Linked DNA regions of Caenorhabditis elegans. The protein of the gene in region 4 interacts with the protein of the main gene of each other region in a pairwise test. Each region holds a gene or a part of one and is shown on either strand. Other genes may lie near its edges. The genes, in order: rtfo-1, R07B7.8, clec-208 and F45D3.2.

What was found.
Region 1: the proteins of F45D3.2 (region 4) and rtfo-1 interact in a two-hybrid assay, tested with the Caenorhabditis elegans proteins (one large-scale study listed by BioGRID).
Region 2: the proteins of F45D3.2 (region 4) and R07B7.8 interact in a two-hybrid assay, tested with the Caenorhabditis elegans proteins (one large-scale study listed by BioGRID).
Region 3: the proteins of F45D3.2 (region 4) and clec-208 interact in a two-hybrid assay, tested with the Caenorhabditis elegans proteins (one large-scale study listed by BioGRID).

The regions. Positions count from the first base shown.
Region 1 is NC_003283.11:9,578,419-9,586,560, reverse strand, and holds rtfo-1 (RNA polymerase-associated protein RTF1 homolog), read left to right. Parts: upstream 1-3,916; 5' UTR 3,917-3,933; coding exon 3,934-4,088; intron 4,089-4,142; coding exon 4,143-4,509; intron 4,510-4,553; coding exon 4,554-5,022; intron 5,023-5,077; coding exon 5,078-5,644; intron 5,645-5,694; coding exon 5,695-5,887; intron 5,888-5,932; coding exon 5,933-6,023; 3' UTR 6,024-6,520; downstream 6,521-8,142. Other genes in the region: K09G1.1 (MARVEL domain-containing protein), read right to left, coding at 259-377, 1,405-1,489; F25B3.2 (CTCK domain-containing protein), read right to left, coding at 6,615-6,686, 6,746-6,840, 7,713-8,079. UniProt on the Caenorhabditis elegans protein: Component of the PAF1 complex which is a multifunctional complex involved in transcription initiation via genetic interactions with TATA-binding proteins, elongation and transcription-coupled histone modification.
Region 2 is NC_003283.11:12,078,295-12,086,955, forward strand, and holds R07B7.8 (Lipase_GDSL domain-containing protein), read right to left. Parts: upstream 6,023-8,661; 5' UTR 5,860-6,022; exon of another isoform or gene 5,322-5,859; 5' UTR 5,167-5,321; coding exon 5,155-5,166; exon of another isoform or gene 5,112-5,154; coding exon 5,052-5,111; exon of another isoform or gene 5,011-5,051; coding exon 4,869-5,010; intron 4,759-4,868; coding exon 4,699-4,758; intron 4,647-4,698; coding exon 4,492-4,646; intron 4,420-4,491; coding exon 4,314-4,419; intron 4,269-4,313; coding exon 4,099-4,268; intron 4,048-4,098; coding exon 3,821-4,047; intron 3,731-3,820; coding exon 3,568-3,730; intron 3,250-3,567; coding exon 3,076-3,249; intron 3,026-3,075; coding exon 2,984-3,025; 3' UTR 2,791-2,983; downstream 1-2,790. Other genes in the region: R07B7.9 (Lipase_GDSL domain-containing protein), read right to left, coding at 1-121, 178-340, 388-614, 659-828, 872-980, 1,024-1,178, 1,231-1,302, 1,343-1,417 and 3 more; R07B7.10 (SLC (SoLute Carrier) homolog), read left to right, coding at 6,132-6,165, 6,418-6,533, 6,581-6,730, 6,778-6,858, 6,909-7,136, 7,184-7,284, 7,859-8,006.
Region 3 is NC_003283.11:2,094,865-2,101,546, forward strand, and holds clec-208 (C-type lectin domain-containing protein), read left to right. Parts: upstream 1-3,088; coding exon 3,089-3,292; intron 3,293-3,335; coding exon 3,336-3,441; intron 3,442-3,501; coding exon 3,502-3,688; intron 3,689-4,024; coding exon 4,025-4,120; intron 4,121-4,168; coding exon 4,169-4,247; 3' UTR 4,248-4,294; downstream 4,295-6,682. Other genes in the region: gtnt-26 (Glycosyltransferase family 92 protein), read right to left, coding at 1-10, 62-133, 237-418; clec-207 (C-type lectin domain-containing protein), read left to right, coding at 1,218-1,421, 1,466-1,571, 1,622-1,808, 2,142-2,237, 2,286-2,364; F36F12.7 (uncharacterized protein), read left to right, coding at 4,495-4,521, 4,575-4,829, 5,109-5,177; gtnt-25 (Glycosyltransferase family 92 protein), read right to left, coding at 5,246-5,377, 5,476-5,611, 6,351-6,457, 6,508-6,682.
Region 4 is NC_003283.11:12,537,491-12,544,940, forward strand, and holds F45D3.2 (Homeobox domain-containing protein), read left to right. Parts: upstream 1-3,548; 5' UTR 3,549-3,587; coding exon 3,588-3,677; intron 3,678-3,729; coding exon 3,730-4,300; intron 4,301-4,353; coding exon 4,354-4,490; coding exon of another isoform or gene 4,491-4,498; intron 4,499-4,785; coding exon 4,786-4,977; 3' UTR 4,978-5,487; downstream 5,488-7,450.

The DNA.
Region 1 (8,142 bases), 3.0 Mb from region 4:
ATTGTCAAAAAATGGTTATTTTTGCCAATACTAATTATAAACAACTGAAAACCGGCTGATTGAAAAGCACTTGGCAAAAGATTTCGATGTGTTCAAACGTATCAAACGTATCAAGATACATGTCAAAATCACCACTAACATCCCTAACACCTTTCATTATCAAAAGCTTCTCAAGCAACTGCTCATGCTTCTCCCCAGCATTTTTTCCCTGTTCGTTCGTTGCGGGGGCAGGTTACACGGACTCACACAAACACGTACCACTGTCTTGGTTTCGGTGGTTCCGTCCGGTTTGCGGATTGTGATGATTTCTGTTTCACTCATTTTTCCGTCTTCTTGTGGATTTTCTTGAAAACTGGCAGCCGCACGACGTACTTCCCCTGCAACAATCTTCCTGAGTCAATTGAAAAAAGGTAGAGAAAAGGTCACAAATCAGTGATAGTGCAAGAACATAGTGTTAGAAATTAAAAACTAAGAACATTACTCGTAAGAAAACTCATTTGTTTTTGGAGTCTATGAAACAATTGTGTAGATGGAATCACCTGACTGTACATTCTAGGTTTGCAGTGAGCAAACAAAAGATTTACTACTCCTACTCAGAAACGGAAAAACAAATGAAAAACTATTGCAGTGTGAAACTATAGGACAAGTAGCTCAGTAATCTTCGACATTAATAATGCTCGTGATAATTTGTTTCTTCTAAACTAACAGAGACCTCATATTTTCCGTAGAAGTCGTACTGACCATTACTCAACTTTAATAGCTCATAACTCGGGTTCTTTGTTTAAAAATGAAGTATTCATAGACAAAACCCCAATGTAATTTTGTAATTAGATTCGTTGATATCTGCAAATGAACTAAAATAATTGCTAAAAAATGGAGTAATATGGTGCATGTCTAATGGTAAAAATGCTGTAACTATCTTGTATCTCGACATTTAATATACATTTAATATGCAGTATATTTGAATTTTTTGAAATCATTTGATACAAATTTATTTAATCTATTTAGAACCAACTCTAGGAACTTTGAATCAAATTTATCAGCAATAAAACTGATAATTGGAAATAAGAAGGCCATCACCGAAATGACCAAAAAAAACTCCGAATGTCTTCATTTTTCCTTCAATCGTTCTTGTTTTGAAAGAAGGTGATAAGATGAAGAAAATAGGGAGAAATGAAAAAAAGTTCAGTTGTACGATATGAAACTTATAACGAGACATTAATTTTAGCTTCCTGGTTTCTAAATGTGAAAACAGAATTCAAGTAAAGCATATCTAGATGGAATCTCTAGCCTATTTTTTAGAACTTAAAGTGAATTCACAAGTTCTTTTCACAAAGTTCATGATCTAAAACAAGCAAATTTAGACACCGAGCTTCTAGGTTTACGCATTCCTAACTCAAATACCTTCAACAGGAATAGCCGCCGTAAAACCAGCAGTGGATCGAAGCGCCGTAGCTACTGATTTTTCGTCATCTGTTTCTTTTTTCATTGTCTGTCGACTGGGCAGTCAATCAAGAATGCAACAAAAAAAAACGAACGACAATAAGAAGAAAAAGAAGACGAGAAGGACTGTAACTAAAGTTGGGAGACCAAAAATGAGAGAACGGATAGGAGGAGCTGACATTTGTTTTGATATCGAAAGTAATGTATATATTATTATTATTCAAGACTGAAAGTTAGAATTGAAAAAAAGAAAAAAAGGTACGGTCTGGAAACGAAACTTTGAAGAAAAGGGAAAAAGTTTGGAGCCATCCTTAACTTTTTGTCTTGGTACACTGTTTGCTCAGCAATAGAGATTGAACGGGAATGGTTTTTGGCAAGAAGAAATAGGTGAAGCACTCAATAAAAAATAATGTGTGTCTCTAAGAGATTCAGAGAAACATTCCTCTTGTGACGTGGCACTTCAAGCATTGAACAGAGTCATATCTTTTACTTACTCCAAGAAATTTTCAAGTTATCAAATCAGTTGAATGACTGTCTAAGTCTCTTTAATTTCAGTAATGTCTAGTACTAATCATTCGAGGTGTGGCATGATTGATTTGTTTCTTTTTATTTCATTTTGGTGATGAAGAGAAGAAAGAAAATAAATTAAAATCACCTAAAATTGAAGTCAAGTAGTAATCTTCCAATCGGCTGGCAGGTAGATGAGTAATCATGATGAGTTCTAATAAAGTAGTGAACGTTGCAGGCTCATAGCCATTTCAAATATTCAAATTTTCAATATTCATTCAGAATGCGTGATGAGAGGTACGTCGTCACGCAATACAATTGCCGGTTTTGTGAGAAGGAAGAGAGATCGATTAGAATGAAAGTGATATAGAGAGGAGAAACCACTTGGCTGGATAAACATGTACTTGATGGTTAGAACTGTCGGAAAAGCAAAATGGATTGTGTTCGAGAAAATATGAACATTTGGAAAGTTTTGAGTTCTGAAGCTTTAAAAGAATAATAAGATAAAATACGTTCACAAAGTCTTTTGAAATTTTATACGGGCAACTCGGACTGAAAAAGTTAGACAATCAATGTGAAATCGGGTTTTTTACAGAAAGTCTCTATATTTAGCGTTAAATTAAAATTGAATGTTACTAATGTGAACATTTGTTGAATTGGACATCAAGATTTTGTTTCGCAATTATTTACCGTAATCTTGAAGGCGCATATACAAATATATAGAGGGCCGTAAATTGATACGAGCTACAGTAACTCGTTGTCCGAGTGGCGAGACCCCTGCGAGTAAAGTATAACCAACATTAAAATATCTAAACGTCTGCGTTATACGGAATTTTTTATGTATTAAACACAAATGAGTCTCTCTTAAAAACTCGTAGAAAGAAAACATGCAGTATTTCAATAATCAGATAACTTACCAAAATTAAACTCTGCCTCAGCTGCTCCTCCATTGTGTCGATGGGATTCGAACCGCAAATTCTTCATTTTCTTCGAAAACTTCGCTTACTACTTCTACTAATTGTCGAATGGCAACAGGAAACACGAAAAGAAAGATTATCCTTTATTTCTGATTCTCTGTATCTCCAGGTCTACCTAAACACTTTAATAGAACAACTGTTCACTAAAGAGCATTTGATCTTTCTTTTTTCGTTTTTTCTTCTCTTACATCGTTTAACCTGGAAAAGGGGTTGTATTTCCGTAAGCCATCTACCCTTGTCTCTTCTTATGTTTTTTTCTTGATTAATGGTTTTTGAGAATACTGTGAGAGCATAAGAGATTTGAAAAACCTATAAGAACACTTCGGATTCCCACAGGATGGGCACTAAAGAATTAGTTTTTCTAAACTTCAGAAAATGGGAGTGTCTCTCAATTTCCTTATCGATTATAAAAGTGTTTGGTATTTATATATAAATCCATTAAATATACATAGCTTGCACCATGACCTACAGCAACAGAAGCCAATATCCCAATTGTGTGCGACAACCTTGCAAAATAGCGTGCGCGGCTTGCAAAGTGGGCGGGACTAAATGTATTGACACTGTGCAGTTTGAATGTAAAAATTTATTCTTAATTTTCGGTATTTTCTTTGGTTTTTCGTTATTATAATTGATTTTTAATGATTCTTTATTATTATCTTAATTCAAAGAGTAGAAAAACTTTATTGCACCCGTCCTTTTTGTTTCTCGAATCCAATATTGACACATTTTTTGAGAAACTTAAGTTTTTTCTTAATTTTTCGAATATTTTCGACAAAAACGCGCATATATCATTAAAAATATGACACTTTTCCTTGTTTCTTTTATTTGTTTAAATATTTGTATGAAACCTATTGTTCGTAGCCATCTTGCAACTGTGTGTCGATATCGATTTTCCCAGAACAAATGTCAGACGCTCTACATCACTTTTATACAACCGTTTCTTCTCACCGTTCTCTAATAATTTATTCAATTCATAATTATGTTCTCAGGGTCAGTTTAATCAACAATGTCTTCCTCTGAGAGTGCTTCATCAGACGAAGAGACAAAACGCCGTGCTCCAGCCACTTCAGATTCCGATTCTGACTCAGACGCAGGTCCAAAACCTGGAAAACCTCTCAGTACCGACTCCTCGGCATCCGATTCAGATGCCGAAAAACCACAGTGAGTTTTACTGTTTTCTATCCAAAAAAAAGTTATACGAGTTTCCATTTTCAGGGCAAAGCCTGCAAAAAAGAAGACTTTAACAAAGCGAAAGCGGCGAGCTACTGGAAGTAGTGACGATGACCAAGTAGATGATGATTTATTTGCTGACAAAGAAGACAAAGCAAGATGGAAGAAATTGACAGAATTGGAAAAGGAGCAAGAAATTTTTGAAAGGATGGAGGCTCGTGAAAACGCGATTGCTCGAGAAGAAATTGCTCAACAACTTGCTAAAAAAGCAAAGAAAAGTTCTGAAAAGGGAGTCAAAACCGAAAAACGAAGGAAAATGAACAGTGGTGGAAGTGATGCAGGTTCCCCGAAACGCAAAGCTTCATCGGATTCCGATTCTGAGATGGATGCTGCTTTCCACCGACCCAGTGATGTAAGTTTATTTTTTTATTTTTCAAATAAAAATTTTTATTCCAGATTAACCGCAAACATAAAGAGAAGAATGCTATGGATGCTCTGAAGAACAAACGTAAAGAGATCGAAAAGAAAAATGCAAAAAACGAAGCACTCTCTATCGATGCTGTTTTTGGAGCTAATTCGGGATCTTCAAGTTCGTCTAGTTCAAGCGAAAGCTCTCGTTCATCATCTTCTTCCCGCGAATCATCACCAGAACGTGTATCCGAAAAAGATAAGATAGTAAAGAAAGATGTTGATGGACTTTCGGAACTTCGAAGAGCTCGATTGTCCCGTCATAAACTTTCATTGATGATTCATGCCCCATTCTTTGATTCTACTGTCGTAGGATGCTATGTTCGACTTGGACAAGGGCAAATGAGTGGCTCAGGAAGCAAATATCGGATATGGAAGATTGTCGGTGTGGAGGAATCCAACAAAGTCTACGAATTGGAAGGAAAAAAGACAAATAAAATCATAAAATGTCAGAATGGTGAGTTGTTTATTTACTTGTGAAAATTTGAAATCTGTTACAACCTTAACTGCAGGTGGATCAGAACGACCATTCCGTATGCAATTCGTTTCAAATGCTGATTTCGAACAAATTGAGTTTGATGAATGGCTTCTGGCATGTAAGAGACACGGAAATCTTCCAACCGTCGATATTATGGATAAGAAAAAACAAGATATCGAAAAAGCAATCAACCACAAGTATTCGGACAAAGAAGTCGATCTGATGATCAAGGAAAAGAGCAAATATCAAACAGTTCCACGAAATTTCGCTATGACAAAAGCTAATTGGTCCAAGCAAAAAGAGCTGGCTCAACAACGAGGTGACATTCGAGAAGCCGAACAAATTCAAACTAAAATCGATGAGATTGAACGACAAGCTGATGAATTGGAGAAAGAGCGAAGCAAGTCAATTAGTGCGATTGCGTTCATTAACCATAGGAATCGATCAAAAATAAAGGACCAAGTCCTGAGTGGGCAATTGAAGATCGAAGAGAATTCACAGGATGATCCTTTTACACGTAAGAAGGGAGGTATGCGTGTTGTTTCTGGATCTAAATCAAGACTTGACGGAACTCTTTCCGCATCTTCATCAACCACAAATTGTAAGTTAATAGGAAATATCAATTTTTTGACATAACTTTATAATTTTCAGTATCTGACGGCGGAAAAGACAAAAGTTCATCATTGGCTAAACCGACGCAACCTCCTCCATCTACTCAAATAAAGAAAAAAACTGATATATCCAGTCTGCATGACTTTGATCTAGACATCGATTTGGGTAAATTGAAGGATTTTAGTACGCCGGAATCGTCAGGAAACAAACGTCCATCAATTAGTTCTTCCAAGTTAGCACATCTTATAGTGGACTATTTTAATTGCTATATTTTCAGAGGAGTGTCACTTAGTGATTATCGAATGCGTCGATCAGGAGGTGGTGACGCTGGATCCTCCACATCAGCTGCACCATCCTCAGCAGTTTGAACTGTCTTTTTCTACATCTCTTTGATTTTCTCAGCGTTACCCCCCTCATCCCTCATCGTTACGTTTTACTTATTTTCTTTCGTTTTATAAACTGATCAAAACTTGTTCAATTCCTTCATTATACTATTCCGTTCATTTTTTCCAATTTTTGAGAACACATTTTTTTAGCTTTTAATTTCGTCAGAATAAAATAAATCGTAATAAAGATAGCAATTGCAGAATGCAAGAAATGGAACATTTTATGAATCCTTCACCGTTTGTTTTAGATCTTTCCCACTCACTGATACTCCTCACCAATCCCAAACCTTTAATTTTAAATTTTCTATGTGATTCTATTGATTTTCACCCTCATTCATCTTTTCATGTTTTATTCCTTTTTTGATTCCTTGTGACTACTGTATTCCTAGGTTAACGGATGTAAACCAAAAATCTGTGTGAATTTTTTGAAACTTTTCTAATAATTTTTCGTGCAATTAATGAATAAACTCAAAGTTCTTTTCACGTTTTTATTCCATCTTTCAGGATTAGAAACCCGGTATACAGAAATGGTTTGGAATGTGAACGAAGAATTGTAATTTAACATCTTAAGCGCTACAGCTCTTTACTCGGCTTGGCTCGAAGAAATGAGCTTTTGCTCAGTGAGCATTGACAGGCAACAGGGAGCTGGAAAGGAAGGGATTAGATTATTTCGAGATTAATACAATAAGAGAAATAAGACAAACCTGGATTTGTTCAACAATCCAATCCTCACAATTATCATCCCCTGTGTTTCGTAGAACTTTGAATGAGAGGGTCTGAATGCCACATTGACCATGAGCTGGAAATATATTTCAATCACAAATTACATGTAATCAACGGACCCCTCAGTTGAAAAACGTAGAACGCTCTCATTACGTAAACGTCCAAATTGATCATTTTCGCCATACAATACGTACATGGGTCTCGCCACGCAGACATTGACATACAGTAGCTCGTGTCGATTTACGGGGCCTACATTGTCTCATGTTTTAAATATTAGACGAACAATTGCGCCAAGACTTTTTAATATGCAAATATGAGGCAATAGCGGATCATACGTCGGCACGAGCTACAGTATCTCCTTGCACTCGTGGCGAGGTCTCCCCAATCGGGCATCGTGTTACTGTAACTCTTGCTCATTTATCTTTTAGAAATACGGGTCTCCATTGCATAATATTTTTTATTGAAAAATCTTGTCAGCGATTTTGCTTTTAATTTGAAAAAAATACGATGCAGTAGCGGGAAATGAACACGAATTACACGTGGTGTCAGATTGTCCCATTACGTTTTAATCTACAAAAAATGCGGGAATTTTTGCCGCAAAAAAAGTGATGTCAGCCCGTTCTTAACAATGCGAAAATAGTTGAGAAGTCTGCGACTAAATTCCCGCAATTCTCGTAGATCTACGTAGATCAAACCAACATGGGACAGGCTGACACCACGTGGCCACGTGGGATTACAGTAACTCGTTGTCAGCGTGGCGAGACTCATGCGCATAAAAAATGACGAAAGTTCGTATCTTTAAACCTCTATGTATTAAATTCCGGAGAGAAGAGATTAAATTTGATAGTCGATGTATACAAAATTTCGTCTTCTAAACAATAAATTTTAGGAAGTAGTGAGCACAGAAGAGCGTTTCTACAACTTTAAAAAATTCCTGAATGATCTCACCTTTATCAGTGAACGTGTCAAAAATACATCCCATTTCCTGTGAATTACATTGAACTGTGTTGAAAATCTTCGGAAAACAATTAGCACCGAGCATGTACAGCCCTCTGCATTCAGAGCACAACGATTCGTGTGTGCCTCCATCAATAGTTTCTCCAAGGTCAGAACATGTTCCGACAGGGATGAAGTTTCCGAGTGCACAATTACCAGGTACAGTAGGATGAGCATCACTGAATACAGATGCACGAAGGCGTCCAAAAACACGGACGAATGGATTTGTTGTATTATTTGATGGAGAAGATGAACGACGAGATATTTCACCATTCAACGCTGCTTTTATCATTTGACATCTTGAATCACACGGATTGGTCTGAATTCAAAGTTTTACAAAAATGTATAAAAGTTATTTGTTGTGACTTAGAAATTCGAAATG
Region 2 (8,661 bases), 460 kb from region 4:
TCTTTTCGCCAACCGGCTCGAAAAGATTTTGCCAATAGTGTTTAGCAACAATAGCTTGACCAAGTTTGCCAAGATGAAACACATCATAAGCATAGAGTGCTGAACTGTAATTGCCAAACTCCTGGAAAATAAGTGCCTTATATTCTTTTCAAAAAGTAGAAGATTTTGTGTACTCACATTTCGGAAAGCATCTGTATATTCCGTACCAAATGGTTGAACAACAACTGTGAATTCTCTGTCATCAAACTTTCCTTCGTTTTGAATTTCATACGATGCATTTCTGTACGAATCACAGAGCTCATCTAGTTGCTTTCTACTCTCAGGAGTTCCGGGTCGGTTTCTGAAAATCCATTAATAAATGCAAGTTACATGCTAAGCAGTACATACCCTGTTCGCAAAATGTAATATGCTTCCTGTAAAAGTTGAGGTGGGAACATTCCAATTATGCTGACAATTGTTCTTGGAAGATTCTTCTTCAAATACAAAAGACCTTCTTCAATAAAAGCTTTGTATTCTTTAACAGGTATTGGATTTTCGGAACCGAATACAAGATTTCCAACATCATTAGTTCCAATCCATAGAGATACTAATTTCCAGTCTTTTTCAATGTTTATCTGAATACCAAACATTTGTACTTTGTGATAAAGAGGAAAGGTACCTCTTTGTTTGCTTTGATTCTGCTAACGAGATCCTTTGCTTGTCTCAAAATATCATCACTTTTCATTCCACCAACAGCAACATTTAATCCCGTATTATTTCCATAACCTACTCCAGTGCTGCCTCCAAATAATTTGTTTCCAGTCTCCTCAGCAATAACGCGGAAAATGTCTGAAAATTTTTATTGAAAAAAAAATCGAAAATGGTGTTTTACTGTAAATTGATAAGTGTCCATCTATTTCTTCATCGATTCCAGTAAAAAATGAGTTTCCTGGATTAGGACCATTGATTCTCTCAATGAAATGACTAGCACAATACCCGATCTGAAACTTATTTGAAAAAGGATGTAAAGTGTTTTAAACTTACAGTTAACGAATCTCCCATTGCACCAATTACCCGAATATGATGAGGTTTTACTGAATTAACATCATCCGGATAAGTTTCACGTGGATCAATTGATTTCAAATAATTATCCAATGCCAATTTCGCGTCGGGTTTTGCCACGGCCAGAGTTTGAGCTTCTAAAGTTAGGATATTAAACATTTAAAAAGTTGAAGAGAAAAATAGACAAACTGAGTTTCATTTCTGGAGTAGTGAAGTTCGAATTTTCTTTTTCCTTTTCTGCGTTTTGAAAATCGATGCCATCTGAAAAAAGGTAAATCAGTTGTTGTGATTCAAAATTTACCACTTGTTTGTATTTCTTCAACAGTTGTATCTTCATATTTCGAGCTCTTCAAGTCATTGTATGTTCCGGAGTTTTCTGAATAGACTTAATGATTAAAATGGTTTTCGTGAATCAACTGGTTATCTGAAGTTAGAAACATGTTTTATGAAGTTCAATTTTAATTTCTCTAATGTGCAACAATTTCTCTGAATGTCTGTAACTCTACTTCAAATGTGTTTCTCTTCTCTTCTTCTTTTCTGTCTGCGTCACTCACCCTCATTGCCACGAAACAATACAAACAATAAGGTAAAAACGAACAGTAATCCAAGAATATATACAAGAATATGTCGAAATGGCGGGCGGAAAATACTAGAAACTGATGAAAATGTTGGAGGTGAATAATAATCCTTGTATTCCTGAAAATATTTATTTTTTTCATCTCAAATAAATATTATTTCTCACTTGTTCGTAGAAATTGTCTATATCAGTGGGAATCCTGTGATATGGAGCGTTTCTTTTTAACTGAAAAAACACAAAGTAATAAATTAGCTAATTGAATCAAAAACTCACGAAAGCTTGCAAATTCGGATTCATAGTTTTTATAAAAAAGGTAAGAGCGCTCTCGTTGTCTAACATGCGTATTTTGGAAATAATATAGAAGGTAGAGAGGGAGAGGGAGTGGGGAGTCAAAAAGTATTCGCAGATGTATTAAATATTTTGAAAAAAGAACGCGATATGTTTAATGAAAACTTCATCAATATTCGATTGTTATCTAAATTTCATTTCGGATCTACTACAACTTTGCATTGTTTCGTACGAAATTTGCATTTTTTGTTTGAAATAATAGTTTTTGTGATACCATAACCGAGAAAAATTTAAAAACTTACACTGTTCATTATCGATTCTCTTAGAAGTAAATAAATTAAAAAAGCTTATGAGTATCTACTGATCTTTAAAATATTCCTGCCAATTTGGATTTAGTCTCTAGATCTAGAGTCCGGACATTTGACGTCACAAAAATTCTGCAAAGAATTTTCTTTACAAAATTCTTGTCAAATTTTCAAATCCACGTATTACCACAATTTTTAATGATAAAAAGAAATTTGGACACGCTAATTTCTCGCGAGTATAAATGTAAAATAACTTGACATTTTTTCGAAAACTACGTAATTTTCACATTGTAATTGACAAGAATTCACAGTGCGAAAAATTAAACAGACGGTATTAGTCTTTAAAATTTGGATCATGAAAATAACACAAAATTTGATTAAATCATCCTAGTCAAATATTGCATAGCAGCTATTTCACGATGTTGGTTAATTGACTCATGAAGAACAAGCAAACAATTGTAATATTTTTAAAATAAAAATTGAACTATATTTCGCACATTGTAAACCAACTGTATCAAATGTCTCAAAAATGCCGAAAGTTTGAAAGTTGGTAGTTCATACTTTAGGAATGTTAAACACTTTCAAATAATTAACTTTATCACAAATCAATTTGACGATATTATCTTGAATTTTCAATATTCCTTTATTTTGTGACGTCGTGATTTCATAAACTTTCCGACTCCTTCATGACGTAAAATATAATGTTTTATTGTGTTGCGGAAATGAAGGTTAAAAAAACCCGAAATTCAAAATAAGTAAATCTGAAATACAATCACATCTTGCTATTTCCGACTGTTTTGATAAGACAGTTCTTCTGAAAAAAATAAAATGAACAAAAACGAGTCTGAAATAAATTTTATAAACCTCATTTAGTTCGTATATTTTTGGTTTCGTATCTCCTAAATCTGCTCGTTTTGTCTTTTCTCCAACTGGTTCAAATAGATTCAGCCAGTAGTGTTTCGCGAGTACAGCATGTCCAAATTTGCTCAAATGAAATAGATCTGAAGCATAAAATGTCGGGTTGTACTTTCCATGCTCCTGTAAATATTAAAATTATTAAAGAAATTATTTCTATTGTTAACAGAGATGCTTATTTTTTTGGGATATATTTTTTTTGTTTCTTGGGAAATTTTTACAAGGAATTTTCAAAAAATGCCCAGTTTTCAAGCATACTGAAGTGAGAAATATTCTCAAATATATTTAGAAAGCTGTTTGAAATTGTCAATGCGACTTAAAAATGACTGTTTCCTGCTTCTAATGAACTCAATGACTGTTGTTACACACATTTTAATAATTGAGAAATATACCAAATTAAAAATTAATGTTCTCAATCCTCTATTTGAAAAAAGGTCTTACATCTCGATAAGAATCCGTGTATTCTGTTGCAAATGGTTGCACGACTACAGTAAAATCATTGGAATTAAAATGTTCGTTATTTTGAAAATCGTAAGATACATTTCTGTACCCATCAGACAAATCATCCAATTTTTTCTGGTTTTCGACGGTTCTTGCTCGTTTTCTGTAAAAAAGTTGTTATCTGGTTAAAACAGATTTTCATAGAAAATAATTTGCAATAAAAACAAAAAAAGCTACCTAGAAAAACACTAACCCATTTTTCAAAATTGACTGTGCTTCCTGAAGAAGTTGAGCTGGAAACATACCAACTATACTGACAATAGTTCTTGGAAGATTCTCTTTCAAATACAAAAGTCCTTTTTCAATATGTGATTTGTACTCATCAACTGGAATTGGATCTTCTAGACGGTAACCAAGTGTCCCGACATCATTTGTTCCTATCCAGAGTGACACAAGTTTCCAGTCATTTTCAATGTTAATCTTAATATTTTGAATTTAAGTTTAATCTTATAAGCTATATAATTAGGAAACCTCTTTGTTAGCTTTAATTCTGCTAACGAGTTCCTTTGCTTGTCTTAAAATATCATCACTTTTCATTCCACCAATCGCAACATTCAATCCTGTATTCTCTCCGTAATCGATTCCAGTACTTCCACCAAACAGTTTATTTCCAGTTTTCTCCGCAATTATACGAAAAATGTCTGGAATAATATTTCAAAAAGATTTAATTTAAATTAAGTTCATACTATAAACAGTCAAATGCCTATCGACTTCAAAATCCATTCCAGTAAAAAACGCGTTTCCAGGGTAACGTTGTCTCTGCCCAACAATATTTTCTGCGCGAGACCCAATCTTAAACAAGTAGATTTAATTCAAATATTTTTTGAAATGGACTACATTTTTTATATAAATAAAATAACTAACTGTCAAAGAATCTCCCATTGCTCCAATAACTCGAATATGATGCGGCTTAATCATATTCACATCATCCGGGTAAATTTCATGTGGATCGATAGAATTCAAATATTTCTCCAAAGCCATTTTTACTTCTGATTTGGCAACTGCTAGTGTTTGTGCTTCTGAATAAATAATTAATTCAATTTTTTAAAAGTTGGCTTAAAACAGACTAACCAAGATTCATTGCCTTAGAAGTATAATTTTTTACCATATTGGTGTAGTTTTCGAGATTTTCTGAAATAAAAATAAATGAACACAAGGAAACGGAGAGCAGTTTTTGCATTGTCTATCTCTCCATGTCAAGAATACTCTCTCAATTGTGTTGCAATGTCTGCGTCACTTACCTCTATTGCCACGAAACAGTAAGAAAAAAAGGATAGAGACAATGGTAACCACAAAAATAAATAATGTTACATTTCGATACCGTCTACTACATTTGTTCGTAATTGACGAAACAGTTCGAGATGTGCTATGATCTTTGTAATCCTGTAAATTTATTTGATTTTTAATAGTTTTCAATTTCTTACCTGTTTATCGACATTTTCCATATCACTTGGAACTCGACGATACCGGGAATTTTTATTCCACTGCAAAGAAACATATAAAGATTAAAAAATTTCTCAAACTTACAAAAGCCTGCATTTTTTAGATTTCTTTTGAGATGCTTTGGGATGCCCGTAGAATGTGAGAGTGGGGAGATAGAAGTCAAACAATTTCCAACGACTTGCACGCGTTTGTTGCACGCGAAAATTTCAAGCATTTATACATAGGTGGAGTAGGACTGCTGGGAATATTGTCTGAATATATTTATCCAGAACTACCGAATATTACATGTACAATCTTAAAAATTTGATTTCGGAAAACATTCAGTCAAATTGCCAAATTTACGAAAATTGGGGCTTTTTGGTAAATTATAGTAGGACATTGCGGCATTCGGATCTTTCAACGAACAACTTTTGCCGTAAAAATAAAAATAAAAAGTTAGTTGGGTAATTCATTTTTCTCATCGACTTCCAAAGTTATGAGCGGATGAAAACTGAATAATTGGAGCTTTTCGACTGAAAATTATTAAAAAACATTAAGTTTTTAGAAGTTTTACTACAAACATGCATACATTTGTGTGCCTATAGAGAAATAAAATAATCCCCCAGAACTATCATGACAATTAAAATTCAAATAATTGTTTTTATCTATAATTTCAATGAGTCTCTGAAAGAAGCTCTCAAAAATGTAGAATGCCGAAACATCGTCAACTAATATTTTAATTGATATTAGAATGTTTTGGAAGTTTTCTGATCGATGTGAACACTATAATCAACTTTCACAGGAACACAACTTTCAAAATTGTTTGTGTTGTGGTATCCACAGTATCTCCAATACCACCTGCGTCTCCACTTTCATTCAGTCTTCCCAAAAGATGCAGTTCATAGATTTCCAAGTGTTCGACAATATGCTGTAGTGTAGAAAAATATCGATTAAATATCGAAAATATCGATGTGATCTTTGTCCATTTGTGCAATCTGTAACCATTCAATCTTATCACTTTCCGTCTTTTTATGCATTGAACTGTCTCTCATTTTCTATTAAATTGTCGGGTTAATTTTACTATGTACGCCGATTTCATTGCAGGATGGGCCGCAGGTTTGTTTATTTTTTGTTGAGAAATTCTGTACCATCCAAATGGGAAGTTTCAAAAATTCGAACTGATTACCACATTATAAATTTAAAATTTTCTAGAACAATTATATTTTCTACTTTCAATAACGGCCAAAGTTATAGCTTCATATAAAAATAAAGTTTTTGAACGATTAAGATTTTTATATGACTTAAAAATTTCAATTTTAAAAAAGCATTTAAATATAAATGCACGATATCTTTTTACTGTGATTCCAGGTGGAGCTGGTCTCCTAGTTGGACATCCTTTGGATACTGTTAAAGCTCGCTTGCAGACAATGAATATTTATAAAGGAATTGTAGATTGTATGGTAAAAACTATGAAACAAGAATCTGTAAGTTAACATATTCAATTTGATTTGTACCATTTACAACTTGACAGGTCTATGGTCTCTACAAGGGAATGTTTGTACCTTTTATTTCAACTGGTGCTCTACATTCTTTACTTTTTGCTGGTTATGGAGCAGGTCTCAAGTTTTTAAATCCTGGTGATTCAAATGTTATGGCTCGTAAGGATTTACCAATGTCAGATGTAAGTTTCAAAAAAGTTTACTTTAATATTTTATTAGTTTCATACAGATTTTGATAGCATCTATTTGTGGAACTCTAGTACAAGTCGGACCAGTTATTCCTGTGGAATTGTTAAAGACCAAGCTTCAGGTGAGATTTTTATAGAATACAACTTTATAAAAATGTTTTAAAAAATTTAGGTTCAAAGAGAAAACATTGGTCATTTCTCAAAACACTCAAGAAATCTCTACGCTGGTCCATTAGAGTGTGCTCGGGAGACTGTTCGTGCTGAAGGAGTGCGTGGATTATTCAAAGGAGGAAGTGTTGTTTTTTGCCGAGATAATATTGGATACCTCTTCTACATTCCAGTATATGAAGGACTTAGCCGTTACTTTAGAAGCCATAATTTAGAGAATACATGGACGCAGGTAATAAATAGATTCTGTAACCGATAATAAAGTTGAAATTATTTCAGCTTTTTGCTGGAGGTTGTGCTGGAGTCAGTGGATGGATTTCTGTGTGCCCGTTGGAAGTTGTGAAAAACCGGATTCAAGCTGATAAAAGCCATAAAACATTGTAAGTTTGATATTGCTGCTTCTTGGAAAATATAACGATTTCAATTTCAAATTTCAATTTTAAACGTCGAAACTTATCTACCGTAGTAAAAAATTAATATTTAAATAGCTTTGAAAAATGCGGCTGGACTAATGTAGACTACCAGATACTGTTTAAAACTTAAGATTAATGAGCTTCCCTAAAAATATATAATTTCGCCCAAAAATTCAAAAATTGACAAATTAAATTCCATTTAAAAAATATTTGAAGTTAAATTTTTAAAGTTTTCCTGGAAATTTGAATATTTAATGTAGGCCGTCCAAACCAATTAAGTCTACAATATTATTAATTTTTGTCCTCTAACTCCATCACATGTTCGGAAAGATTCAAATTTTGTACGGAAACTATATACATTTAATCATTTAAATCTGCGTACAAACAATGCAAATATTTTCTTTATCAAAAAATGTATTGGAAACAAAATATTAATTATCATTGTACAACAATGATACTTATTGTTATCATTTACACACCCCTTTTGCACGTGGTTTTTATGAGTGCATATATTTAAACTCATTAACTTGTAATTTTACAGATCCCCAAAAGAAATGACTCTAAAAATCTATCGAGAAGACGGTCTCCGAGCATTTTATCGTGGTGGATGGGCGATTTCACTCCGTGGATTTGTTGTAAATGCCGTCATTTTTGTGGTTTATGAGAATACCTATTCGTTTTTTGATTGATCCATTTTCCCACGAACTCAAAATTGCCTTTTTGTTTGTATAAACTCAGTTGGAGATCACAAATGCATCTTTTTTCTCACAGACAATCTTATCTCTATTTTATCTCTTTACCACTATCTTATCATACAGGTGGTCCATGAATAACTCTTGATACTAGTACTGTGTAATTTTAATGTAAAATTGGTTGAGATGACCTAAAAACTTTAACAAACCGGACATCTCATCGATCTTCCTATCCGTTTTTCAAGGCAAAGATGCCGTTCAAACCATCATTTTTTTACACTTGCTTGGGTTGGCAGGGTCATTTTATGACCGACAACTGCTAGAGTTATCCACCTTTCTCGAGTTGTTCGTTGGCTGTTTTTGATATTTTTGAGGAGTTGTCACCACGAGATTTTTATTTAACTTTGAGAATTCTGAAATTTTTGAATTAAAAATCCCCGCATAGCACATCGATTTTGAAGATATTATTATTATTATTATTATTGTTGAGGGGGATATCGGATTACTGTGGTGAAACGGCAGAGAAAAGGCAAGAAAAACTAGAAAAAAATATATACAAATTTGTTCAAGCTTCATCAATTTGATGAATTTTTTTTTTCAATAACAATAATACAATTTTCTTTCAAAGGACCTTACTTATTCACTTTCATCA
Region 3 (6,682 bases), about 10 Mb from region 4:
TTTTCCGAGACTGAAAAAGAAACAAACGTTATTTTCTAATAAAACTGAAACAAAAACTTACGACTTGGAACTCGGATAGTAGTATGCAGAATGAATAAACGTATGCGTGCTTTGTAGAATGGAAATTTCAGGTCTGAAAATCTATTGGCCGGGACAAAAAAGAAAACTCGGCCAGAAATCGGTGGCCGAGTTTTCTCCTTCCCTCGGCCATGTTGCGGACTCCGACAATAACTCACTCTGGTGGCCCATCACTTGATAAAAATAGTAATGAAGAAAATATTATAATTACTGATAAAGCTAGTCCTAATTTCAAAGCTCGTAAAGGATGAAGCCTATATCGATATTTTGGTAGCTGTCTGAAGCTTACTGTAATTGGGAGGACATAGGGTTTTAAGTATTCGGAAGTTTGAAATTTCATGGGCAGGATAGAAGCAAAATTTTGAAGCTGAATCTACATAACTATCAATTTTTGAACCTAGCGATCCCTATCTAGAAGACGAGACAAGGCCTAGGCGGCCTTTTTTTCAAAAAATTTAAAATCAGATATTTGGATCCTGTTCGGAACAAGCATAGCTCTGCAAAAAAAAAAATAAAAAAATATATACGGATAAAATCAAAGACAAAAGCTGTTGCACGTGAAATTCTATGTATTGCTTCGGTGTTTAGCAGCCGGCATTTACCGGGTTAGAAGCCATTTTCTAGCCGTGTTAAAGCAGCCGACATTTCAAGGGGTATGAAAAGTAACTCCTCCAATCAGAACGAGCGACGCTTCACGGGACCAATTTTTTTGCCGTATCGCTCAAAAAACATTTTCCGTTATCTCCCGGGTCAATAATAATAATTGAGTCATTATTTTTTCCTCTTTATCAACGTCCCAAATAAATATAGCAGCCGACATTCCACGGAATCACCAAATTACTAGCTTCCGATCACAGAAAAGCAACCGACATCTCAAAGGTTCCACATATTATATTCTACTTGCTCTATCTTGAGCAGCCGACAATTTATGGGTGAAATTTTCTGCGAAACTATTCAGCTGACAACACATCCAAGGTTTATTCTTTAAACAGCAAGCAAAAGATCATTTTGTCCCCCGATTTTATTGCAATCGAGAATGTTGCAAGAAAGAGAAAACTAAACGTTCTTTATATCATAATTATTTTCCCGATCTCCATATAAAAACCGAAGCCCCAAGATAATACAAAACATTTCGGAACATGCTAGTAGTTTTTCTGTTCTTGCTACTCTCTACCACCTACGGTATCGACTTTTCGGATTCATCCGAATCATGTGAAGATGGTGGACGGGGTGGTCACAATCACGGACGTCCACCAAGACCACCAGGCAATGGTGGAGGTGGAAGAGTATGCGACGCCGGGTGGAAGTTCTTCTCGAGACCAAGTGGTGGATGGTGTATCAGGGTGGGCTACAGTAACCCTTTGATATTCTACAATTTGTGATTCAGGTCTTCGCAGGCCGCCTCGGAAGAGATTCTGCAAACCAAGCATGCGCCACTCAGGGAGGAGTACTCTCAGGGATGCAGAATGTCGAAGAGATCAACTATATTGTTTGTAAGTTCTAATTTTTTTGTAAAACTTCTGTAACTACTGCAAAATTGCAGCCCAGTCTTTGAGCGTGATTTCCCCAGCAAGAAGTGGGGGCGTTTGGGTTGGAGCTCGACGCCGACCAGCTTGTATCAGCTCAGGAATCACTGCAACTTGTACAAAGACTAATAGCTTCTACTGGACTGACAACTCGGCTACTGGAATCAATGGAATGCTTTTCACGAATGGAGAGCCAAATAATGGGTTAGTCGAATGGGTTTTTAGTAAGGTTGCCTTTGTACGCCTTCGCACCTACCATCTTCCTACCTACGTGTCAGCCTGATGCGTTCAGGCAGATACGCGACAGGCAGGGATGTGGGCATGATTACCTATTCCGAAAATTTTCAATTTTGGCAATTGCAGCTATGACAGAACAATATTGTACTGGCCTGTCTCGCCTAAGAGACCTGCCTACAAGACCGCCTACCGCCTAGTTTTTGTGGCGTTTAGTAGGCTTGCCACTATCCATTTGGGTAGACGTTGGTTGCTTTGTAGGCACGTAGGCATTCTCAAAATCTCAACTTTTCCGTTTTTCAGAGGGGTAAAATTGGATCAGGATTGTGCACTGCTTACTGTAGCCAGCACCCCGGTGGTTTTCAACAAATTCAGAACTGGACAAATGGATGATGTTCCGTAAGTTCTTGTTAGTCGGCATTACCAACTTGGCCATTTAACTTACAGATGCACGTGGCAGGATCCTACCCCAACCGCCGACAAGGCCAACAAAGGGTATGTGTGCGGAAAGAAGGCGAGAAGATGATCTGTATAACTTTTTTTAAAAATAAAAATTCTGTATTTTATAATGTGGTGTATTACTATCATATAATGCTAGCAATCCGGATCGAAATTGAGAATTTTAACGAAAATTTGTTGTTTAAAAAAACTTGTATACAGTTGTGCAAAATAAAAACTTTCAATGAATAATAAAAACTTTCGTGAACTTCGAAATACAAAACAAAAATAACGGCTACGAATCACTACAGATTTCCCTTATTTCTGGAAGTTTCAAAAATTTGTTAAAATGCATGAAATTGTGTTGCTTTTTAAGGTAAGCCAAGTTTCAGATTTCCCCAGCTTTCAAGCCATTAAAAAATTTTCAGATAATCTTCCAAATTCTTCCACTTCTTCCGGTCCTTTTCATGTTCAAGAAATCAAAGCCAGGTGGGGCTAAGCCAGTTATGAATGCTCCGATAATAGCTTCACGGTCTTTTATACTGAACACGCGCTAATTTCAGCAGCCGACAATTTACGGGTCTGTTTTATTCTATTCTGAGCAGGTGACATCTAACCGGTAAGTTTCTACCTAACTTTTTAGCTGTCACCATCTTGAAACAGCAAACAAACAATCATTTGTCCTCCGATTTTATTGCAACAAACCGCACTTGGTTGCAGGGAAGCGGAAGCTAAACTCCTTTTTTTTATTATTATTTTCCCGATCACCATATAAAACCCAAAACTCCACGCGTTACGAAACATTTTGAAACATGCTAGTTGTTTTCCTGTTCGTGCTACTCTCTACCACCTATGGTATCGACTTTTCGGATTCTTCCGAATCATGTGAAGATGGTGGACGGGGTGGCCACAATCACGGACGTCCACCAAGACCACCAGGCAATGGTGGAGGTGGAAGAGTATGCGACGCCGGGTGGAAGTTCTTCTCGAGACCAAGTGGTGGATGGTGTATTAGGGTAGGTTACAGTAACCCTATGATATTCTACAATTGTGATTCAGGTCTTCGCAGGCCGCCTTGGTAGAGATTCTGCAAACCAAGTATGCGCCACCCACGGAGGAGTACTCTCAGGGATGCAGAATGTCGAAGAGATCAACTATATCGTTTGTGAGTTTTGGCTTTTTTTGAGTAAAACTTAAAACTTCTGAAACCACAGCGAAATTTCAGCCCAGTCTGTGAGATTGATTTCCCCAGAAGTCAGTGGTGGCGTTTGGGTAGGAGCTCGACGCCGACCAGCTTGCATCAGCTCAGGGATCACTGCAACTTGTACGAAGACCAACAGTTTCTACTGGACTGACATCTCGGCTACTGGAATCAATGGAATGCTTTTCACGGATGGAGAGCCAAATAATGGGTAAGTCAGATGGGTTTCGGTATGGGTGCCTTCGTAGGCAGGCACGTCTTCTCTGCCTCGTAATAAATTAGGCTTGACAGGAAGGCACGTCTTCCTACATACGGCCTGATACCAGCCTGATGCGTTCAGGCCAATAGAGTGGCATGCACGTGGGCATGATTACCGATTACGAAAACGTTCAATTTTGGCAATTGCCGATATGACCGAAAAATATTGTACCCGCCTATCTCCTGCCTGCCTGCCTGCATAACGGCCTACCGCCTATTTTGCAGATAGGCGTTGGTTGCCTTGTAGGCAAGCACGCATTCTATAAATCTAAACTTTTCCATTTTTTAGAGCTGCTGCATTGGATCAGGATTGTGCATTGCTTACGGTTGCCAGCACCCCGTTGGTTATGAACGCTTTCAGAACTGGTCAAATGGATGATGTTCCGTAAGTTCTTGTTGGTAGACACAACCAGCAGGGCAACCTAATTTCCAGATGCACATGGCAGGATCCTCGCCCATCCTCCGATAAGGCTAACAAGGGATATGTGTGCGGAAAGAAAGCGAGAAGATGATCTGTATAACTTTTTATTTTGTTGAATAAAAAATTTTGTATCGGAAAACTTGCTCAACCAAAAAATTTGAAAATTAAAAAATTTAATAGTTTTCACGAGAAACGTGATGGGAAAAACTTGCATTAAACTTGCACAAATAATACAGTTGGAAAAATAACTCAACGTGAACTTATAAATACAAAATAAATAACATCCACGAATCACTACAGATTTCACTCATTTCCTGAAGTTTCACAAACTTGTTAAAATGTATGAAATTGTGTTGCTTTTCAAGGTGAGTCGAGTTTCAGATTTCCCAAGCCTTCAAGCCATTCAAACAATTTTCAGATAATCCTCCAAATTCTGCCACTTGTTCCCGTCCTTTTCATGTGCAAGAAATCAAAGCCAAGTGGGGCTAAGCCAGTCGCGGATACTCCGCCAGCAGCAATGATTGCTCCACGTTCTCGTACACCGTCGCCAGGAGCCGGCAAGCGTTCAGTGCCACGCGATGGAGTTTCATCGTCAGTTTCTAGCTCGACGGTCTCTAAGAACGAGCCAGCGAAGAAAAGCCCCAACAATCGTGGCATGTCGCAGACTCAGGAGGTATGTATTTGTAAAATTTTCTCGAGTTTTTGATGTCGCCCGCGAGTCAGAAAGTCTCATTCCGCTTTGATCTACGAAAAATGCGGGAGAAGAGACGCAGACATCTCAACTGGTTTTGCATGGTTAAGAATGAAAAAATTCCCGCATTTTTTGTAGATCAAATCGCGATGAGGCTTTCTGACACCACGTGGTCCGCGACTTGCTCGCTGTAGCCCCCTATTGCTCGGTGCTGGCATTTATCAAATTTTACAAACTTTTTAATAAACTTCCACATTTCAGGTCACTATCAACAATGGCTTTGAAATGGGCAAAGGGAGACAGAGCCCCGTCTTCAGTGTTATCGTTTAGAAGTATACTAGCATCAATAAAACCGTTTCAAGCTCTTCATTTTTTTTTATATACAAAGCCTGATATCTCTATTCATAGCATCCCAAATTCCTTGTAAAATAATATTCGGTGACAAAATGGAATGTGTAAGGTTTTGTGACTTTCCCGGAGTGATAGAGACCATCAGAGTGTCGACATGGGATTTTGTCGTTGTTGGGGAGCTGGAAATATTATAGGTAAGGTAAATTTTAAAAACGCCTGCCTGCCTTGTGACTACACCTACCAACGAGTAGGCAGGCATAAGGTAGGCACATCTCACCTTGCACGCTTTCGTATTCACACATTGCCCCTTTCCCTGCTTTTGAGCTTCCAGGCAAGCCTTCAATTTTGTTGAATAATAATCTTCGGTTGGCAATTGTTTCACAAATTCTTGAATACTCGGCATGAGGAGCGTCCTGGAAAATTAGAAAATTGAGATTTAAAATATGTTTCCATAGAAGATCAAGCCTCGCGCTTCCAGTTGTTTTTTTTTAATAATTAATTTAAATTAGAAAATCGTATTAAAAAACTATGCAAACACGGGACACCGGACTTTACGCAAACATGCAGAAAACCGGCGGTAGGCAGGCAGGCACCAGTGCCTATCTACGCGCCTCCAAGAGCACTTTTATAGATTTACAAATACACATGGTGTCAGGCTGTCCCATCACGGTTTCATCTACAAACAACGCGGGAATTTTTTGCCCAAAAAATGTGACATCAGCACGTTCATAACCATGTAAAATCTGTTGTGGATTTTGAGTCTCAACTCTCACAATTCTCGTAGATCTACGTAGATCAAACCGAAATGAGACTCTCTGACACCACCTGCAGGTGGCGTCAGAAAGTCCCATTTTGCTTTGATCTTCAAAAAAATGTGGGAGAAAAGACGCAAACATCTCATCCGATTTCGCATGGTTAAGCGCGTGCTGACGTCACAATTTTCTGGAAAGATATTCCCGCATTTTTCGTAGATCAAACCGCAACGAGACAGCCTGATATCCTTTGCACCTGCAGATAGTTATCTATCAATGTCGGCTGTATCAATAATGCGACGTCACGAAAATGTACCCCTTTCTTGAGAAACTCGATAATCAGATTTCTTTTCGATCTGCGATTTCTGATACTAGTGACTCTCCCGGAATATCAACTAACTCTTTCAATTCTTGATCAATCTCTGCCAGCTGTTCCTCACTCAAAAGTTGCCTATCCGTAGTCAGTGGATTCATTGGGATTACTGTAGAGTTGTCGATTTCGGATGTCTGAAAATATACTAAATATTTCCTGTAATTTCAGCCCATCGACTACTAACATATTCCAAATTGCTGAATCTTAAAAATGCATTCGTTAAAATCTCTTTTCTAGTCAGATAATGTGGCTTATCGTCTTGCTCCGCCAGGTAGACCGGGTGCTTTTCAGCTTCCGTCGAGTAATAGGCCCATGTGGAATTGTACCGTTCTGGGCGAACAATTGCTCTTCCCATTTTT
Region 4 (7,450 bases):
AAGCATAGCTTGATTTGAAGATATCTTATTACTTTCGTAAAGTTATAATTTTATGCTCAAGAAAAAGCTCATCCTACTAAGATTTTTTGTGTAAAGTTTTGCGGTTAGAGTAATCATGCGAAAAGTCCATTCAATCTTCACGGTTTCATCCGCCAAAGGGTACATATGTACTTTAGAAGATGTTCTGCCAGTTTTCTGGCGCACACACACTCACCATTCTACGACCTGTCCTTTCCTCCATGTCTGTCAAAATGACCGTCAGAAGATAAATGGTAGATGGGATTTTGCACTTTTCATAGAACTTCAAAGATTACGGATTACAATTGTTTTCTAGGCGTGGTGGTGTCAAATGTCAGAGTCAGTTGTAATAACCTACCGTACTCTTGCGAGTGCCAACAAAACATTATTGAGTATACAGAAGTAAAAGTGCATTTTTTTCGTTTCTCGGGTTTTTCCATCGCCGTCACCGGTTGGTCACCTCGACTCAAACTCCTCACATAATATTTGCTTACACTTTTATTTACTTGTTCTCTTCATTTTCGCCTCAGTAGAGCGTATTTTCCTATTTCCCCAGAGAATTGTCCCAAAGCTTTAAAACTATTAGCTTTAAATTCTAAAATTAGAACCAGATTAATTTATGCTAAGTTGGTTCAAACAGTTTTGCTCAAAGTTTGATGCACCTGTTTAAGTTATCGTCTAGAAATCTTTGAAGAATAAACTGCTGAAACTGCTGAATATCTTGATCTCTGCTTAAATTCGTGAATATTTCTGTTCTCTGAGTCACCAAAGTTGTTTTCGCCATCGCACCATTTTTGCACTAGCTCAGCTGCAGAACAAGAAACCCCACACGACGGCTACCCGTTTCTCTTTTTTCCCTTTGCCACACAGTAGTGTTCTCTGAAATTATTTTGTTGTTTTTGTCTGGTTCTCACTCTCATTCACCATCTGAAAAAAAAGCGGCCACGTCATTTATTGTGGTATGAAAAGTTGCTCTTGAACTCTCTGGAAATCTTAAGATCTTATTGCTCACTCATGAACCTAATTCAATGGTCGGTAAGTGAAGCAAATGTAGTAGTAGGGCACAATAGAAAGTTTGCATGTACTTTTCCGCCATCGCCCTCCCTCTATACCTTGTCCTGCGTCTCAGTGTAAACCGTATGGGGCGGGGCACCTTCTCCTTCGGGGCGACCCGGTCGTACCGCCCCCACCATTTTCACCTACAGGGTTTGATATTCAGATACTAATGTCGATATGTAGTGAGATGGTGTACCTACCATCTCAACAGGTTTCCGCTAATCTTCCCAAAGATTACAAGATTTTGTTTATACTCCAAAAATATTTATTCATCAAGTATCCCAATCCAAATGGTCACTTACTTACAACTGACGATTAAACATACTAAACATTTAATTAAAAAATTATTCAAATTGTTTTCGCTATTCAAAACTTTAATTCACAAATGCAAACTATTCGAAATCTTATATGATTCATGTTAGACTTTCAACTTTCTTCTGATCGCAAGTACTCCATCAATTTGTCAAGACGAGAGTTGGCCTCTACTGCCAAAGATCTTATTTTTCTCGATAATCTTGAATCACTTTCCATCTCTATTCCTCTTCTTCATTAAACTTTTTATAACATGTCAAGGTTTTTATTGGATCTTTGTTTTTAGTTAGTTGTGACCCAATCACTAACGTCACCACAAGAATTCTCTTTCCAAATACAGTAGCCAAATTCCCATGAGGTTTTCACATCGACTTTGGTTCCCAGTCTCCACCAAGGAAGAGATAGAGGGTACATCAATTTGTGTAACGGGTCCTTCTTTTTCCGTCTTTTTCTTCTGAGCGTGGAGAGAAAATGTGTGTGTCGTCTATCTCTCCATCATACTCTACATGCCCTTTTGTTATTTCGCACTTCCCCGCAGCGCCAGGCCTCCTAGGCATCCCCAGACTGAAAGGTCGACCTCTCATACTTCTCCATTCCTTTTCCTTTCCTTTTTCTTCCTTATTCAAGCTTAATCTTAGTCAGATTTTCTGATAGATACTGACTCATTTTTTCTTCATAATGTAACATAACACATAACACCTGCATGTGAGATCTTGACGTGGTCAATTTGTACTTTTTGCTATTTTGTTATTGCTTCTCTAATCTGATCTGGTCTCAATCACATTTTTATCTTCCGTCTTCATGATGCCTTTTTGTGATAAGAAATGAGTTAGATAATAGAAATGAATAGCAAAAAAGCGAACTTTTAGTGATCACGATCAGAACAGTTATTGAAGAATAAAAACAAAACAAAAAGTTCATGATGTGTGTCCATGTGTCTGGTACATGTGTCTGTTTCAGTTATTCTGAGAACTACGTCAATTTCGTGCTCAAGTAAATTTTCATATTCCATAGTTAGAATATCAATCAGCTGCTATCTCTTGTATATTTGCCAACAAGTGCAGATAAATTTAATATGAACTATCTGAGCAATGCATAACCTGTGCCCAATAATGTTTTTAGTTTTACATCATTAATTTCAGCTGCTCGCATCTTATTAGTCCTTTCCATAATCTTCTTTCTTCTCCTCCTCTTTTGCACTTTTCCTAGCATTCTCAATGCCCCACCCACCCCCTTCTTCATCTTTTTTTCCTTTCCGAGAGCGTAAGTGGGCGGAGCCTTCTGTCGAGATGCCAGGACGTCAGTCACTCATTGCCATGCTACTCACGTTTTGGCTTGTCATTTTTTTGGTCACAGTTGTCAGGAAGCTTATCAAATCGTTTTACGCTTTCACGCAAAGTTCTATTCATATCAGTTCATTTTTGTAAAAGTGCATTTGAGTCACTGATTGTTTTTTAAGACATCGAATCCCTCATTTATCCGTCTAACCCTAAAATTGGCATCCGATCTTCCTTAAATCCTCATTTTGGCATCTTGAAAATTATTAGTTTAAGCAAAAAGTTCAGTTGAAGTACACTTGACTTCACCTTTTCAGTTTCCAGTTTTTGTCATGATCATCATCGTTTATATACCATGAAGGGCACCTTCATATCCTTTTTGGAACCAATTGCGCACGCCTGTCTGTCTCTAAAGCACTTCTTGTTTTTCATATGTGAGTGTGGAGAGTGAGAGTAAACCGGGAAAAAAACAACGACAAAGCTAGAAGGGAAAGTAAGAAAAAATAGAAGGAAAAGTGACAAAATAGAATAGAATAGACGTGTGTGTGTGTGTGCGTGGTCTGTGTATTGTTGAGGACACCGGTTCACCACTTTTTCCCTCGAATTCCCTGTTTGGCAGAGACTGAAGCTGAAATTTTTTGTTAGACTTCCGACATTTTTCCATCAAAACTTGATCACATTCGCTCAGAGATGAATCTCCAGTTTCAGTACACTTGCGGGCGCCGCCGCCGCCGAAATTCTGCACTTTGCCTCCAGATTCCCTTGTCCTTTTTGTTTTCGACACTGCGATTTGTCGTTTTGATTCACTAGTCTGTTCCTCCTTTTCCTATTTTTCTAATTCCTAAACGATTACAGTGACATTTGAAAAACGTTCGAATATTTTCAGGGATATCTTCTTTTCCCTTGCATTCAAAAGAATAAGAAATGGACCAACTGACTTCCCAGCTTGGAAGCGCTGAGCTTCAGGCTCTTATTGCTGCCTTGCCACATGATTTGACTCTTAACCCAGTAACTGTAAGTTTTAAATCAAATATGCAAAATATAAATCAAAATCTCATTATTTCAGAGCAAACCATCATCTGCATCAAGCAGTGATTTATCGGCATCTACTTCTACATCTTCATGTATTTTTCCTCCAATCAACGATATGACAGCACTTTCAATGCTTTCCCTAGGTGCCTATCCTGGCCTGTTCACTGGATTCCCACTTTTGTCTACTTTGCCATACTTGAATCTTCCACCACACTCAACAATCGAATCATTGGGACTTATCAACTCAGCCCTTTATCAACAACAAAAAGATGTTCAAGCTGCAATGAACTCACCAGTTAACCAATTTACTGCTGGATTAGCAGCTGATGGACGCCCAAGAGCATTTTCAAGCGCTGCCACTTTGCAACACGGAAAAGATCAAGAGAAACGACGAAAGAGAACAAGAAAGATGGAACCATCACTTCCAATTACAACAAGTACCATTACATGTTCCTCGAATTCGTCTCCCTCATCAAGCTCTATAACTACATCTGTGCTCCGAACATTAGTAGAAGATGATGATGCAGATGTGCATCCAAATAAAGTTCGACCAATTCAAGTAACAAAAGAGGAAGAGGATCTTGTTAGAAGAAAAACTCAAGAATGTAAGTCGTATATTCAAATTTTATAAATTTAAATTTACAATTCTAAATTTCAGTGCTCAAATCCATGCCCCTTCAAAAATTAGAGCCAGAAGTCAGCGCAAGTGGCCCACTTCGCCGTCTTATTCGAGACGAAGACCTTCCAGACGAGGTCGGACCAGATTCGCCATTCCGCCACTACCCAAAGTATCAGGTACACAAGTTAGTAGTTTTTCGATTCTTCCTTTTCTTAATAGTTTAAATCGAAATCTTCTCTCTATTCTTCTACTTTTTTCACATTTTAATGATATTGTCGTGCTTGACAGAACTGCATATTTTACAACCAATTTTTGTTTTAGAAAATTAATTTTAAAAACGCAGCTCTGGTGTGAAAGTAAAGTATTTGATTTTTATTTGATCTGTCATTAAGTTTAAATTGTTCAATAAAATTTCAATTTGCACACTCTTTGAAATTTGAAATACATTTTTTAAACTCTTTTTATTTTCAGCAGAAGCCCCGTTCACAACTAGTCATGCTTCAAGGAATCCAAGCGGCAGTCGCATGTATGTGCATTGAAGCTTTTCAACTCGACGATAAAACCGATGAGGAGAAAAAAGCTTTTTGTCAAAAACAACAAGGCCTTTCACTTGATGATTTGGTCAAGGAAACTGTGCGTCAGGAACTTGTAGCTGCAGAGTAGAACGTTTAGCTCTCATTATTTATACCTATCCACTTCTTTTTCGTTTTCAACCAGCTTTTACTCTAAGTTCAATTTTACTCAATATGGATAGGTTACAGTTTTCCCCGTTGAAATAGCCCCTATTTTGCTCTCAAAAACTACTCACTATTACGTCTCAAGGATCAACCGTTGCGTGTGCATTTTTCGTCTCCCCGTTCCATTTTTTGCTCTTCTCTTTTTTTTCTCTTTGACTAGAACTGTTTCTTTTGGATGGTCAAAGAGGAAAATTTAATTTTAATGTTTTTGAACAAAACTTCAATGCTTTAATATTTTATGTCCGTTTCATATTTTCCAACTTTGTATTTCCTGTTTTAAGCTTAAACCTTCATTTCCAAACGTCTCAATGTAATTCTCACAACATTGCCCAGCCTTTCAAATGATTAACATTTTTTTGTAAAAATTAAACGTTTAAATTCTAAAAATAATCAATCTGTACAAACAAATATGAATAAACATTCTGCAAATTGATAAGTTCATCCAAATGTAGTTTTCAGAAAAAAATAACACATCAAGTACCGTACTATTTTAAATCATGTGGCTTAGACTTTTGAGTTGTTTTCGACAAGTTCACGTCATTTTTCTCTCATTTCCAGTTTCCGTTTTGCACTTTCATTGATCAGTTACCCAGTTTTTAGGAAAATAAAAAAGGGCAATGGGGGATGCGGAAGTCTTTCAGCAGAATGTCACATTTTCAGAGAATGACCTTCGAAGTTTAGATGAAGACTGTAGTTGTTCAAAGCATAAACAAAATTTACAGTGAACTTACAACGTTTGCAAGTGCTTTTCAGAAATATGACTTATGAAGTACAGTTATTCCTAAGCAAACAAAAATGTGCCTGATGAAATAAGTAGCTAAACAACTCAAAAATAGAACGTGGGTGTCCGGTAAAAGCACTTTACTGTTTGAATTTGATTCAACAGCATTTTAAATAGAAGTGTGATAAGACAGCAACAATTTATAAGTTGGTAAATCAATTTTAGGCTATTTTGAATATTTAAAATAGGAAAATGTGTTAGTTTTTGAAAAAAGTGTCCCAAATAAAAAAGATTACCGAATAACAAGGTTCAAGTTCCAATGGTTCGAGACCAATTTGACATTAAAATAAAAACGGGAATATTTTATTTTTGCACAAAAAATATTTTTCAGGGGTATACAGCAAATCTTCACGGGCGTTTCGCGGTGTTTTTTTTTTAAATTTCAATTGAATGTTGTTGGCACACTTGTAAAAAGGAGATCATCGATGTAATGAAATATTTACAAAATCGTGAACACTTTAAAAATCACGACCCGTAGAGTGCAATTCGACACAATTTTCCCGCCAACTTTAGTGCCCCGCAACTTTAAGTGCCTCAAAACAATTTCAGATATAGTTCAAGTTCAAAATAAACTAGAATATCTTCTTGGATGCACATCAGTAGTTTATACACCAAGCGAAATTTTTGAAGATGAAATGCGATACTTGCCGTAAAAAAAATCTGAATTGTTCGAACTTGCATAAGAGCTTGAAATCAAATTTTGGAAAACACACAGTTCGTTTAAATGTGATGTGACACAAATGAATAAATGGTTGGAATCCACTCATATAGTGCAAAAAACTTGCAAAAAACTTGGCAAAAGTGCTGATTATTTAAATTTTGCCAGTCATAATTTTGGAAGGCAAATTATTTCTAGGAAATCTAATTAGGTTTAAAACATTTTTTGGCAAATATTGAAGAGATTCAAACATGCGAAAAAACCGCACACTTTTTAAACATTTGGCAATTTAAAAAAATTCTACATTATGTATTTCGACTAACCGCCTAATCCACCTAAATTTTTAAAGGCTCAAAACTTCTTTTTTTTACTTGGGCGGCATGAAATGAAGTTTCTCCTATTATGCTTATTCTTTTTGCAAATGTTTTCCAATTGCTGCAAATTGATACACCACAAGACTTAGTTTTGCAGATTGCGTACAATTGCTCTTGAATCGGAGCATCATCTCTGCACTTAGAATGTTTCTCCTCCAAAACTACCATATTCCTTGTACTAAATGCTTCAACTCTCGTTATTTTTTCTTTAGTGCATCTCACATCACCTCTTCCATCTAACTTCTTTCTGCTGCACGAGCAAAATTTCTAGACGCATGATCTACGACTTTTGCACTTCTTAAATCTAAGGAAAACTATTTTCTATTGATGATGTTGCGAAATGGAAAAGAAAAAATTCACAAAGTTATGGCTCCGTGATGGGATCGTTTAGCATTTTCGTGAATAAATTAACACTATATTTTGTGAACACAAATTTATAGGACAGGTAAGTCTAATTTCAAATCGTTTTCTGCAATTCTAATAGAGCGAGACACACTATAATACTAAGGAAAATATGCCCATTTAATATTGATTGTGAGTAAAACAATTAATTGGGGTTTTGCTTACATTTTAATTTCAAAACTCA